Linked DNA regions of Sus scrofa. The protein of the gene in region 1 interacts with the protein of each later gene in a pairwise test. Links are inferred from orthologs where the notes say so. Each region holds a gene or a part of one and is shown on either strand. Other genes may lie near its edges.

Evidence for each region. The genes of interacting proteins can lie anywhere in the genome.
Region 2: the proteins of PRPF40A (region 1) and CCNL1 interact in binary tests that used the Homo sapiens proteins (3 or more experiments, as listed by UniProt). The link is inferred for Sus scrofa from reciprocal best matches to the Homo sapiens genes PRPF40A and CCNL1.

The regions. Positions count from the first base shown.
Region 1 is NC_010457.5:60,436,025-60,441,239, forward strand, and holds the start of PRPF40A (pre-mRNA-processing factor 40 homolog A), read right to left. Parts: upstream 3,348-5,215; coding exon 3,183-3,347; intron 2,047-3,182; coding exon 1,915-2,046; intron 1,423-1,914; exon of another isoform or gene 1,192-1,422; intron 577-1,191; exon of another isoform or gene 545-576; coding exon of another isoform or gene 497-544; intron 1-496. Other genes in the region: ARL6IP6 (ADP-ribosylation factor-like protein 6-interacting protein 6), read left to right, coding at 4,615-5,011.
Region 2 is NC_010455.5:96,999,245-97,004,459, reverse strand, and holds the start of CCNL1 (cyclin-L1), read left to right. Parts: upstream 1-2,040; 5' UTR 2,041-2,044; coding exon 2,045-2,347; intron 2,348-2,639; coding exon 2,640-2,714; intron 2,715-3,206; coding exon 3,207-3,316; intron 3,317-5,090; exon of another isoform or gene 5,091-5,215. Other genes in the region: VEPH1 (ventricular zone-expressed PH domain-containing protein homolog 1), read left to right, coding at 1,768-2,040. UniProt on the Homo sapiens protein: Involved in pre-mRNA splicing. Functions in association with cyclin-dependent kinases (CDKs). Inhibited by the CDK-specific inhibitor CDKN1A/p21. May play a role in the regulation of RNA polymerase II (pol II).

The DNA of each region.
Region 1 (5,215 bases):
ATTTGGGCCCAATATTTGTTAGATATCAAGAAAGAAAGAAAAAAAAAGAATAATCTAATTTAAAAGGGAAAAAAAGGGGTCCTCTTGAGTCCCTCAGAGCTGAACTCTAAGGCATTCATTCATTATCCTAACAGGAGCCAACAGAGAGAGACAGACTTCTAAACATCTAAATATAATGAGGTAAGCTTAAAGGCCCATGGCATATACTGGCCTAGGAAAAAAGTAGAAGAAAACCGTACGGTAAAAATTCAGAGTTTCTGAATGGATGTGAGCCAAGTAGCAAGTAACCTTACTAGGAAGATGGGCACCATACAGCTAAAGAGAAGGGGCCGTAAAGCAAACTGTGACCAGCTTATGTCAATGAGAAACATGACAGTACTTAAAAAATAAAATAAGATCTGCATAGAACTAGAAAAACTAGCTGGTATCTTGGTTTTGATAGTGCAATAGCACCAATACAGCAAGGGTAAGCAGGTCAATCCCTTGCAAAACTTACCTTGATTGGCCCAATGGAAACAGAAGGCCCCAGAAAAGAGAGAAGCATCTGGCAGTAGCAAATTGTTTTATTTTATCTTTCTGTGGAAAGAAACTAATTTTAAATAAGAACCAGAGCATTTAAAGAATAAATATTTTTTAAAGCTCATTATCTAGTTAGAGTAGCTCTACTAAGAAAATAAGAGCTCCTTGCTGTTTAGAGATGGAAAGAAACAGAAGAGGAAATCAGAATTGTTTCTCCATCAACTAGGGAGTTTAAAACTTGTATTATTCCAGAGTAACAGAATAAATAGTTTTTTATTTAAAGAACTCCTAAAGGCAGAATCTTCTGGGCATAGTGTCTTTGAATAAAGACTTTTATACAAAATTACGGGCTATACTCCAAATAAAAAAGAAAACCACCTGACATTAAGCTCTTCTACTCTTATGTAAAAAGAAGCACACAGAGAGAGCTCCTTTCTCCACTATAATTTCACCAGTAACTCAAACCATCAAGGCTTAAATGATTATCAAAGTAAACAGTACTAATTAACAAAAAGATCATACCTAATTGATTGGCTTTCCAAATTTTTTGTTAGCCTAAATATTTGATGCTTTATTGTGATACTACATGGAAAGAACTCAGCCACCAAAAGATATGGTATAATAGAACCTCAGAGGGGGCACAAAATTAGTTATGGTAATTGAACCTGTTACCTTTCTAGGATGCTTTTCTAGGAATTCAGTTCTGTTGAATTCACTGAATCAGCATTAAAACCTTTTGGTCCAAATCACTCCCACAAAATGTCTGTTTACAATTTATGTTGGAGATGGAAGGGACAGCTCAAAAGCAGGAGTGCGGAAGCAATAAGCATTTAAAAAAAAACGAGGACACAAGACAGTGTAAGTGGAAAATGAACTATATGGCACCGTCCTATGAAAAACCAAATCAGAGTAGAACTTTCCCACCTCCACCCACCCCCACCACACAGACACCACAAATAGGAAGCTATTTCAGGAATAAAATTCATTCTAAGCCAAAGGCTTAAACAATTGCTATTTCCAGATTCTATGCATAGACATGGTCCACCAATATAAATTACATTGACATAGTATATTTACTTCAACTGACATACTTGGAGGGGAAAAGTAATTAAACTAAAAAGCCTAGGTATACATTGCTACTTTCAAATTAAACAAAACAAAAACAACTCAGCTTTGTTGCTTCAGAAAGTTAACCTCTCATACAGAAGACTTTCCATTACAAACAAATTTGGTAAATGACACAATTCCACATTTCACTTATTTGAAAATATTATTTTGGCATAAACTAAAACTCAAAACAGCTGCAAATATTGACCCAGATTTTGAATTTTGACACAAGAACACCAGAGGTAAAAAGTAAACAAATAAATACATAGTAAAACAAAACATTCTTACTTGTCCCATTGGTGGCCCTCCCATAGGGGGCATCATTTGCGGCATCATTCCATGAGGTACAGGAGGCATATTCGCTCTCTGACCCATAGGGTGCATTCCCATTGGGGCATAATGCATGCTAGGGTGCCCCATCTGAAAAAAAAAAAAAAAAAGAAAAAAAAAAAAAAGGAAAATTTACAAATTAGCAAAGACCGATAAATGCATCTCAAAAATTAACGAAGACTAATAAATGCTTCTCAAAAATCTGACTTCAACAAGTCAGTTATGCGCATAACATTATATTTGTCTAATATGTGACTAAACTATTGATTCAACATTTACTTTCTGGTCTTAAATCTGCAACTTAGCAAATTTCAGAAAGTGGAAAAAATTAAAATCATTACTGGATACCTAATTCATTTTTTAAAACATGATGATTTAATCAATTACTAAATGGCTTGCTAAAGTGAGAGAATACAGTTTAAACGCCAGCCTAAAAACTATCATGGTGAAAACCACAGCTTTGTCCTACTTCACAGATATAAGACAGCTTATTTTTATTTTATTGCGCCATTTATCCTTACTTTCTACATTGATTTTAAACTTTAAAATGCCGAAGTTACCAAATTAACTCAGATAAGGGCTACCCTTATAAAACACCAACAGTATGGATCCTCAGGAACACTTCACTCTTAATACATAAACATACTACTTACAACAGAATCTTTGAGAAAAATTACTTATGCCAAAAAAAAAAAAAAATCCCAAAGACCGAGGTCTGTCATTCATAGATACTAAAGTAAATAACTAATTCATCCATCTTAACGAGCTCCTATAAAAAGACAACTACTTTCTTTACCTGTGTCTTCATTGTTCCAGGCCTTAAAACCAGGTAACTATCTCCTGCCAATTCTCCCAGCTGTCCTCCCGCTACGGACACCACTAACACAGGTGAAGAAATTCTGGCAGCCTGTTTTAGACTCTACAGAATCAAATCTCCGCCTCCCCAACACGGCTAAGTCAGGCCTACCTCTCCAAAACGCTCACCCCGCCCGCGACCAGCACAACCAACGCGCAACTGCCTAGGCCAAACCCACCAGCAACTTCCAGGGTCCCACTTCCTTTTCTTTGTGCACCCCCGCCCTCCATTTCTCTCCCCCGGAACATATCCCACCATCTCGAGCTCTTCCTTCGTCCACTCTCATCTTCTTCTCCTTTGGGAGAAAGCTTCCTCTCTCTCTGACTCCGTTTTCATTGTGCCGCTTTCCCCTGCCCCACCGATCCCTTACCGAGGGCCGTCTCCTCAGGAAGCCGTCAGCAGAGACCCAAGAGCTGGAGCAGAGGCTTGAGCCGGACAATCTCCGCTCCCCGTCCCCGGGACCCCGCGAGGGAGGATGGCTCTCCATTTCACTCACCATGAGGCCTCCTCGCTCAGCTCCCGTCCCCGGCCTCATCGTCGGGCTCAGACTGCTCCGCCGGCGGCCACTGCCGCTACACATACCAACAAGAAGCGATCTGAGTGGCTGGAGCCCACTGGGGCCAAAGGTTAAAGGCTGCCCTGCGCTACGGGGCGGAACCAGCGGGGCCAATAAGCTGACAGGCTTCTCCGCTGTCCAATCAGACTGCGCTGCCGACACGCAGCTCTTCGGCGATTCGCTCCCAACCTCAGCCTCACTCGGCGTCGCCTGCATGGAGGGGGGAGGGGGACGGAGGAAGTTTCTGTTGCAAGTCCTCTTGGGGAAAAACTCCAGTAACTTACCCCAGGGAAGGGAAGACGTCTGTGTCTCAGCCTCCCGAGCTTAGTTCGCCTCACCCCGAAGGGGGTGGGGCAGTGGGGTTCTGCCACCTTCACCCCCCGCCCGAGTTACGTACGCCCCCACAAACCTGAGGCCGCCTGGGGTGGGGTGGGGTGGTAGGGTGGGGTGGGATGGTAGGGTGGGGGTGGGGGTGGGGAAAGCTTCTAGCGTTAGCGGTGGCCGGATACGCGCGCGCGCGCGCGCGCGGGGGGCGGATCGAGTTGGAGGGAGGGGGCGAAGAAGGCTAGAGGAGGGGTCTTGAGAAGGTTCGATCTCCGTAAGATCCAACTGGGGAGCGGGCGCCGGGATAGGGGAGTGAGGGGAGCCGGAGGCGTGCCAAGCTGCGTGGTGGGAAGTTGTAGTGGGGCGGGGAGAACAAAACGTAAGGGAAGGAGGAATGGGCTGTTAAGGGAGGTGAGGGTGCGGGGTGGTGAACTGCCGTGGAGGGAAGCGGGGGTGGAGGTAGGAGCGAGTGTAAGGCGTAAAAGTGAGAAAACAAATTGAGTCGGTAATGTGTATTAGGGCGCATGGCGGGCGCTAGGACCGGGTGCCACGAAGGTGCGACTTTGGGGCTGCCGGGCCGCGCTCTTGCTTAGAGGCGACGCTGCGATGGCCGAGGTCTCAGGGCGAGACGAACCTGTGCAGGGATAGGGGACTTGACTGCCTTCGGCCTCTTCTTTCCTCCCCTCTGCGCTCTTCTCTGCTCGCCTTCCCTCCTACAGCTTGAGGGTAGTACCCTGATCCTGGGACGCCCAGCCTCTCCAACTCCACAGCACCTTACCCGCCCAGCCGCCCACCCTTGCGCACCCCTGCGCGCCTCTGTCTGGTGGTTTAGGCCGGGGGGGGGCCGTTGATTGGCTGCTGGGACCGCGGGGAGGGGCTGGTGAACAACGCTCGCTCTCTGGGCCTCACTGTCTTTCCCGCCATGTCGTTCGTGGAGAGCGGGAGGCGCCCGGCCCCTCTGCGCCGTCGTCCGGGTACCCCTGTCCCGTTCGCTCGGCCGGCATTTTCCGCTTCCACTCAGGGAGACAGCTGGGGTGAGGGTGAAGTCGATGAGGAGGAGGGATGCGACCGAGTAGCCCGTGACCTGCGAGCGGAATTCTCGGCCAGGGCGTCGCCCGAACCTAGAAAGGACTCGCTCCTCCGGCCAGATGGGGACGGGTCTTCCCTCCTGGCGGATAAGCGGAATGGCATCTTGGCGGATGCGGGCGGTCGAACCCGAGCTCGGCGCTGGCCGGTCCAGGTCCTCTCAATTCTCTGTTCGCTGCTGTTCGCCATCCTCCTTGCCTTCCTCCTCGCCATCACCTACCTGATCGTAAAAGGTACTGAAGTCCAGAAACTGTATAGTTTTTTAAGCTGAGGTTGGACGTGGCTCTCGGCTTCAGCTCCTTCTCCCTATCAAAGGCCACCAAGCTGTAGCGACTTCCATCCAGAGTCCTCATCCGCATTTTTTGGCCTTCCCGTTTTGTTTTCTTTTTCTTAAAGGTGGAAGACCTTGGTCTGTGGTCAGGAGACCTATTTTAAGA
Region 2 (5,215 bases), on another chromosome or scaffold:
TACACCACAGCTCACGACAATGCCAGATCCTTAACCCACTGAGCGAGGGCAGGGATCAAACCTGCAACCTCATGGTTCCTAGTCAGATTTGTTTCCACTATGCCACTATGGGAACTCCTGTTATAATCCCTCCTGAATATTGGAGAGGGAAACTTCCCTGGAAGCAGCTTAGTCAGACAGGTGAAGGTAACGTGCAACGAGGTCAAGTATTTCAGCTAGCACCAGAATTACACTCTCTTGGAGCTCTGTTTCTCAATCCTGGCTGAACATTCCAATAACCACTGGCTGGGTCAACCCCAGATCCATTACATCAACCCCTACAATTCAGGCTCAAGCATAATCAGTATGTTTTAAAAACTTCTCTGGGGGTTCCCATCATGGCTCAAAAGAAGGGAATCCGACTAGTATCCATGAGGATGCGGGTTTGATCCCTGGCTTCAATTAGTGGGTCAGGGATCTGGTGTTGCTGTGAGCTGTGGGATAGGCTGCACATGCGGCTCAGACCTGGCATTGCTGTGGCTATGGTGTAGATCCAATTCCGTCTCTAGCCTGGGAACTTACATATACCTCGGGTGCAGCCCTAAACTCCTCTGAAGATACTTATGTGCAGCTAGGGTTCAGAAATACTGATGTAAATCTTTACAAAGTAAGGTGGATTGAATTCTTTTTTTAAAATGAGTTTTTGAATATGTTTTGCTTTAGAGACATCACTAACAAATATTGCAGTGTACTCAAATTCCTTTTGCTCTATGGATCCAAGTTTTAATTCATTTCTCATAATTAAACCTTAAAATTGAACTATGTGATAGAAAGATGATGGGGCTTCTCATTCCTGGACAATGTCTCCAAGGTCTAGACACAGAAGGAGTAAACAAAGATCTACTCTCTTTTAACTGAATTTACCTTGTGTTAATTTTTTCTGTACAGCAAAATGATTCAGTTTACAGAATCTTTTTTTTTTTTTTAAACAAGATCTACTCTTTTTTCCTCCCACTCTAGCCTGTGGTAGTTTGGATCAGTATCATTGTTTTTATTTCAAATTTGAGGAAATTTGGAGAATTGCTAATATCAGAGAGGGAAAAATACATATAAAGAGATTGATTTCTCCCATACTACCTAATTGCAGTAACCTCCATGAATACATAGACTGCCGGGCATAATCAAATTACCTCTGTAAAGTCTCGACCTAAAACTATTTTTGGAAATTAGGGATTTTCCAGATTAGTGAAAGCTGTGGCTTGTCACTAGCTCAGGCCCGAGTTTCGCAAGCGAAGCTGCTAAAGCAGTCTCTCTCCCAGTCAATACGAATCCCTCGCCATACTTAGATACCTCTGGGAACCACATGCTCATCTGACAGCTTTTTTTTTTTTTTTTTTTTTGAACCGATGTAGTTCACAAGCCTGTTTCCCAAAAATACTGTAAAGCAGCCCTTTCCAGATTCCTTGTGGGTCACTTTAAATTACAAGTTCGTCCATACAGGACATCAGAGTAACCATTTCCACCAGCCAATGCCGGCGAAGGTCGTTCGTCCTGATGCTTCCCTTTCTACTCGCTGAACCCGAGTCATCCAAACGCGAAAAGTTAGATGAGGTAGAGACGGGAGCAAAGAGATCCACGTTCTAGACAAATTATCAAATTAGCGCCAGGGTTATTATAGTAGTAAACCTTGAGAACTCTAACTTGGCTATCTCGTAAAGCCCCCTTATTATTCTTGTGGTTAAAATACTACAAACAGGCGGTTTAGACCTGGTTTATCCAAATTGACAGTTCCCTCGACCACTCTGGGGTCTCAGCGGAGAAGTCACCCTAGACTCCCTCCCGGTGGGGGCCACTCTGGGCGGACAGAGGAGCCGCGGGAGGACACCTGGCCTGAAGGGACTAGTTGGCGCGCACTGGATGGGCGTGGTGACGTCAGGGCGGAGGCGCACGCTGCGTGAAGCGTCTCAGAACCCGGCGGTCACGGGAATATCCGTCGCGCCGAGAACGCTGGTTAGTCTCACTCCGGTTCCGGCTGCGTTGGGTGTGCGTGCAGCTCGCTGAGACTATGGCGTCCGGGCCTCACCCGACCGCGACTGCTGCCGCCGCCGCTTCGTCGGCCGTCCCGAGCGCGGGCGGCTCCAGCTCCGGAACGACGACTACGACGACGACCACGACGGGAGGAATCCTGATCGGCGACCGCCTCTATTCGGAAGTTTCGCTCACTATCGACCACTCGCTGATTCCGGAGGAACGGCTCTCTCCCACCCCGTCCATGCAGGACGGGCTCGATCTGCCCAGCGAGACGGACTTACGCATTCTGGGCTGCGAGCTCATCCAGGCCGCCGGCATTCTCCTCCGGCTGCCGCAGGTCAGTGCTGCGGCCCCGGGCCGACCGGGCGCGCCTTTTCTCCGCGGCGTTCCCGCCGCTGAGTTCCGGCACCACCGGGCCCCGGCAGGGTGGGGATGTCCCCTTGGGACGCTCCTGTCCGAGCCCGGGAGTACAGCGGGCGGGAGGGCGTTGGGCGACGGAAGGACCGGGCCCGGAACTGTTCGCGGCAGGGAGGGGGAGGGGGAGCGAGTGGCGGCACAAAATGGCGGCGGCGCCGGCTGGTGCGGGCCCGTCTGACCCCTGCGCTTCCGTTCTCCTTTCTTGTCTGCAGGTGGCGATGGCAACGGGGCAGGTGTTGTTTCATCGTTTTTTCTACTCCAAATCTTTCGTCAAACACAGTTTCGAGGTAAGCGGAGCGGGGGCGGGTGAAAGGGGATTTCTTCATCCGGAAATGGGAAGGAGGGAGGGGGTAGGGTCATCAGCCAGCTTTTCCAGAAAGGGAGTGGTTAGTTTAGGCCTTTGTACCTAGCTTTCCCTCACTGGGAAGTGGGGACTTTTGAAATGTGTTGTAGAAGTAAAAGATGGATCTTGAGCCCTGGTGCCCTACACTATGAAGGATTAGAATTTTCAACCAAATGCAATATTCCTTTGAGATTGACTTTGGTTCTGGATTCAGAATTAAGAGACATTAAGCAGTGAAAAGAAACCATCATATTAACATAGTTGGTAAGCCTACGGCCTAGAAATGTCAGTTGTGGTTTTACTTCATCAAAGGGTGTACCAGTTTTGTCCAGAAGTTTCTTCATCAGAATAAGTTACTTAGATTTTGAGAGTGGCACTTTTTTTCTAACTTTATAGTTCTGTAATCTAACAATTTTTTATTGGGTGATTCTTTCAGATTGTTGCTATGGCTTGTATAAATCTTGCATCAAAAATCGAAGAAGCGCCTAGAAGAATAAGAGATGTGATTAATGTATTTCACCACCTACGCCAGTTAAGAGGAAAAAGGTAAGATTGGCATTATTGAACACAGCATCTCATGATACTACTGTTCCAATCATCAGATCAAAACATTCTTTCTTCTCAAGTTAAAATTGATGCAGAGGAAACCTGACTTTAATTTAGGCGTTAAAATTCATGTAGGAAGACCTCGATACTTAAATTTATTTGAAACACCAAAATTAACCAGTTATCTAAAGTTTGTAGAGGCAGTTGCGTTTATGGACAATCCTAACAGTGCTGTGAAGCCAGTCCTGTGGTTTAAGATTAAACAAGAAAGGGAGTACGTTTGGCTCAAGTGTGAGTGTATTCTGTAAGTTATTTTTCCCCTATCCTCTGTGGAAGACTGAAGACTGGGAGTTTGTGAACATGGCAGTTCAGGTTAATGTTGTGGCAAAGGTTTGTGTAGATTGCTTTTTCCACTTGAAGTCCCAGATAATTTTATCAGTTGAGGTTGGCTTTTGTTGCAATACCTCTCAATATTGAACTATGATATATCCTGTAATACCAGATCTGAAAGGACTGCATGATGATAAATACAAAGTTTGGAGTTTGGAATCAGAGATTAAATAGGTATTTTGTTTTGGTCAGATACAGTCTTAGTTGTTTAGAAAAATAACTGGTTGAGTTGCATTTAGATAAAGCCCATTTGTCTAACCTTGTAAGAAATTAGAGACCAAAGTAGTGTTGTCTAGGTTTTGTGGGTATCTGCTAACACTTTATGTGGACTTATGAATTCTTGTGAGGCAGTATGAAAAAGTTGTAGTGTTTTCTGCACTTATAGATGACTTATATAGAACATGTTGTGGAAGGGTATACTTGATTATATAGATTAGTTATTATGCTCACTTCTTAAGGAATTGTGTTACTGGGTAAACTTGTTTTGAGCTTGAAAGGAAGTTAGTTGTAAAAGGATTTTAAGTTGTTTTGGGTTTCGTGTTGGTTAGTACCAAATTAATATCCTGTGTCATTGGTCCTTATTTGCTGAGTGTAGGTTTGCAGCATGGAACTATTCAGAGACAAACAAGTAGTAACCTTAAAATGATTAGCCTATTTAGAGTCTGAAACATTGCTGCCCTAATAATCTTCACAGCATTTTTCGTTTGTCTTACATTCTTTGTTTCACCATCTTTTCTCATTCGTGGTAACCATATCCGGGGTAGACTAGTATTTTATTTCACTTAAAAATACCTTTTAGCTTCTTGGTGAGGAATCAGTCCCTGAAAACTGCAAGGTTTTCAAATTGGTGTCTAGTATGGTCTGAGCTAAGATTTATATTTTGATCTAGCTAATTCTTCAGGGTGTTAAAAACAAAAAGACACTAATAAAAAGGTTCTTTATCTTAGTCAAAGGATTCCGTGTTCATTTACAGGAAATAGTTTTCTGTTAGTGTTCTTTGAACCATTCAGCTAACTAGTATCATTTATGATTATCTACTTTGAAATTTTTCTTTTGAGTATTCATCCTTGAGGTCAGAGTAGGTCTTCTTAACTATAAAATCTTTGGAATTTAAAACATCTCACCTGATTTGACTGTTGTGTGTCTGATGTAACAGTATGGGTTTTTTTTGCTTTTGGGGGGTCAGTAATACAGACAAATTGTTTTTTGTCTCAGTCTTAGCAATCAGGTTATAGCATGACATTTAAAAGGAGTTATTTGCATGGAAGCCTTTTTTAAAGCAGGATGTAAAAGTGTTTCTATGCATATTACAAGTTTACTCAGACAGGTAGCTTGTATATGTTATTAACTTCAACTCTTTTTTCCCTTGCAACCGACTATACAGCGACCAGCTACATTTACCAAAGCCTGGGTGATGTGGAGTGGTACATAGCGATGAAGCTGTCGTCATGGCAACAGTGAGTGAAGTATCGAAAATCCCCAAGGAGAAGCCAGTGCTCTGAGAATAGG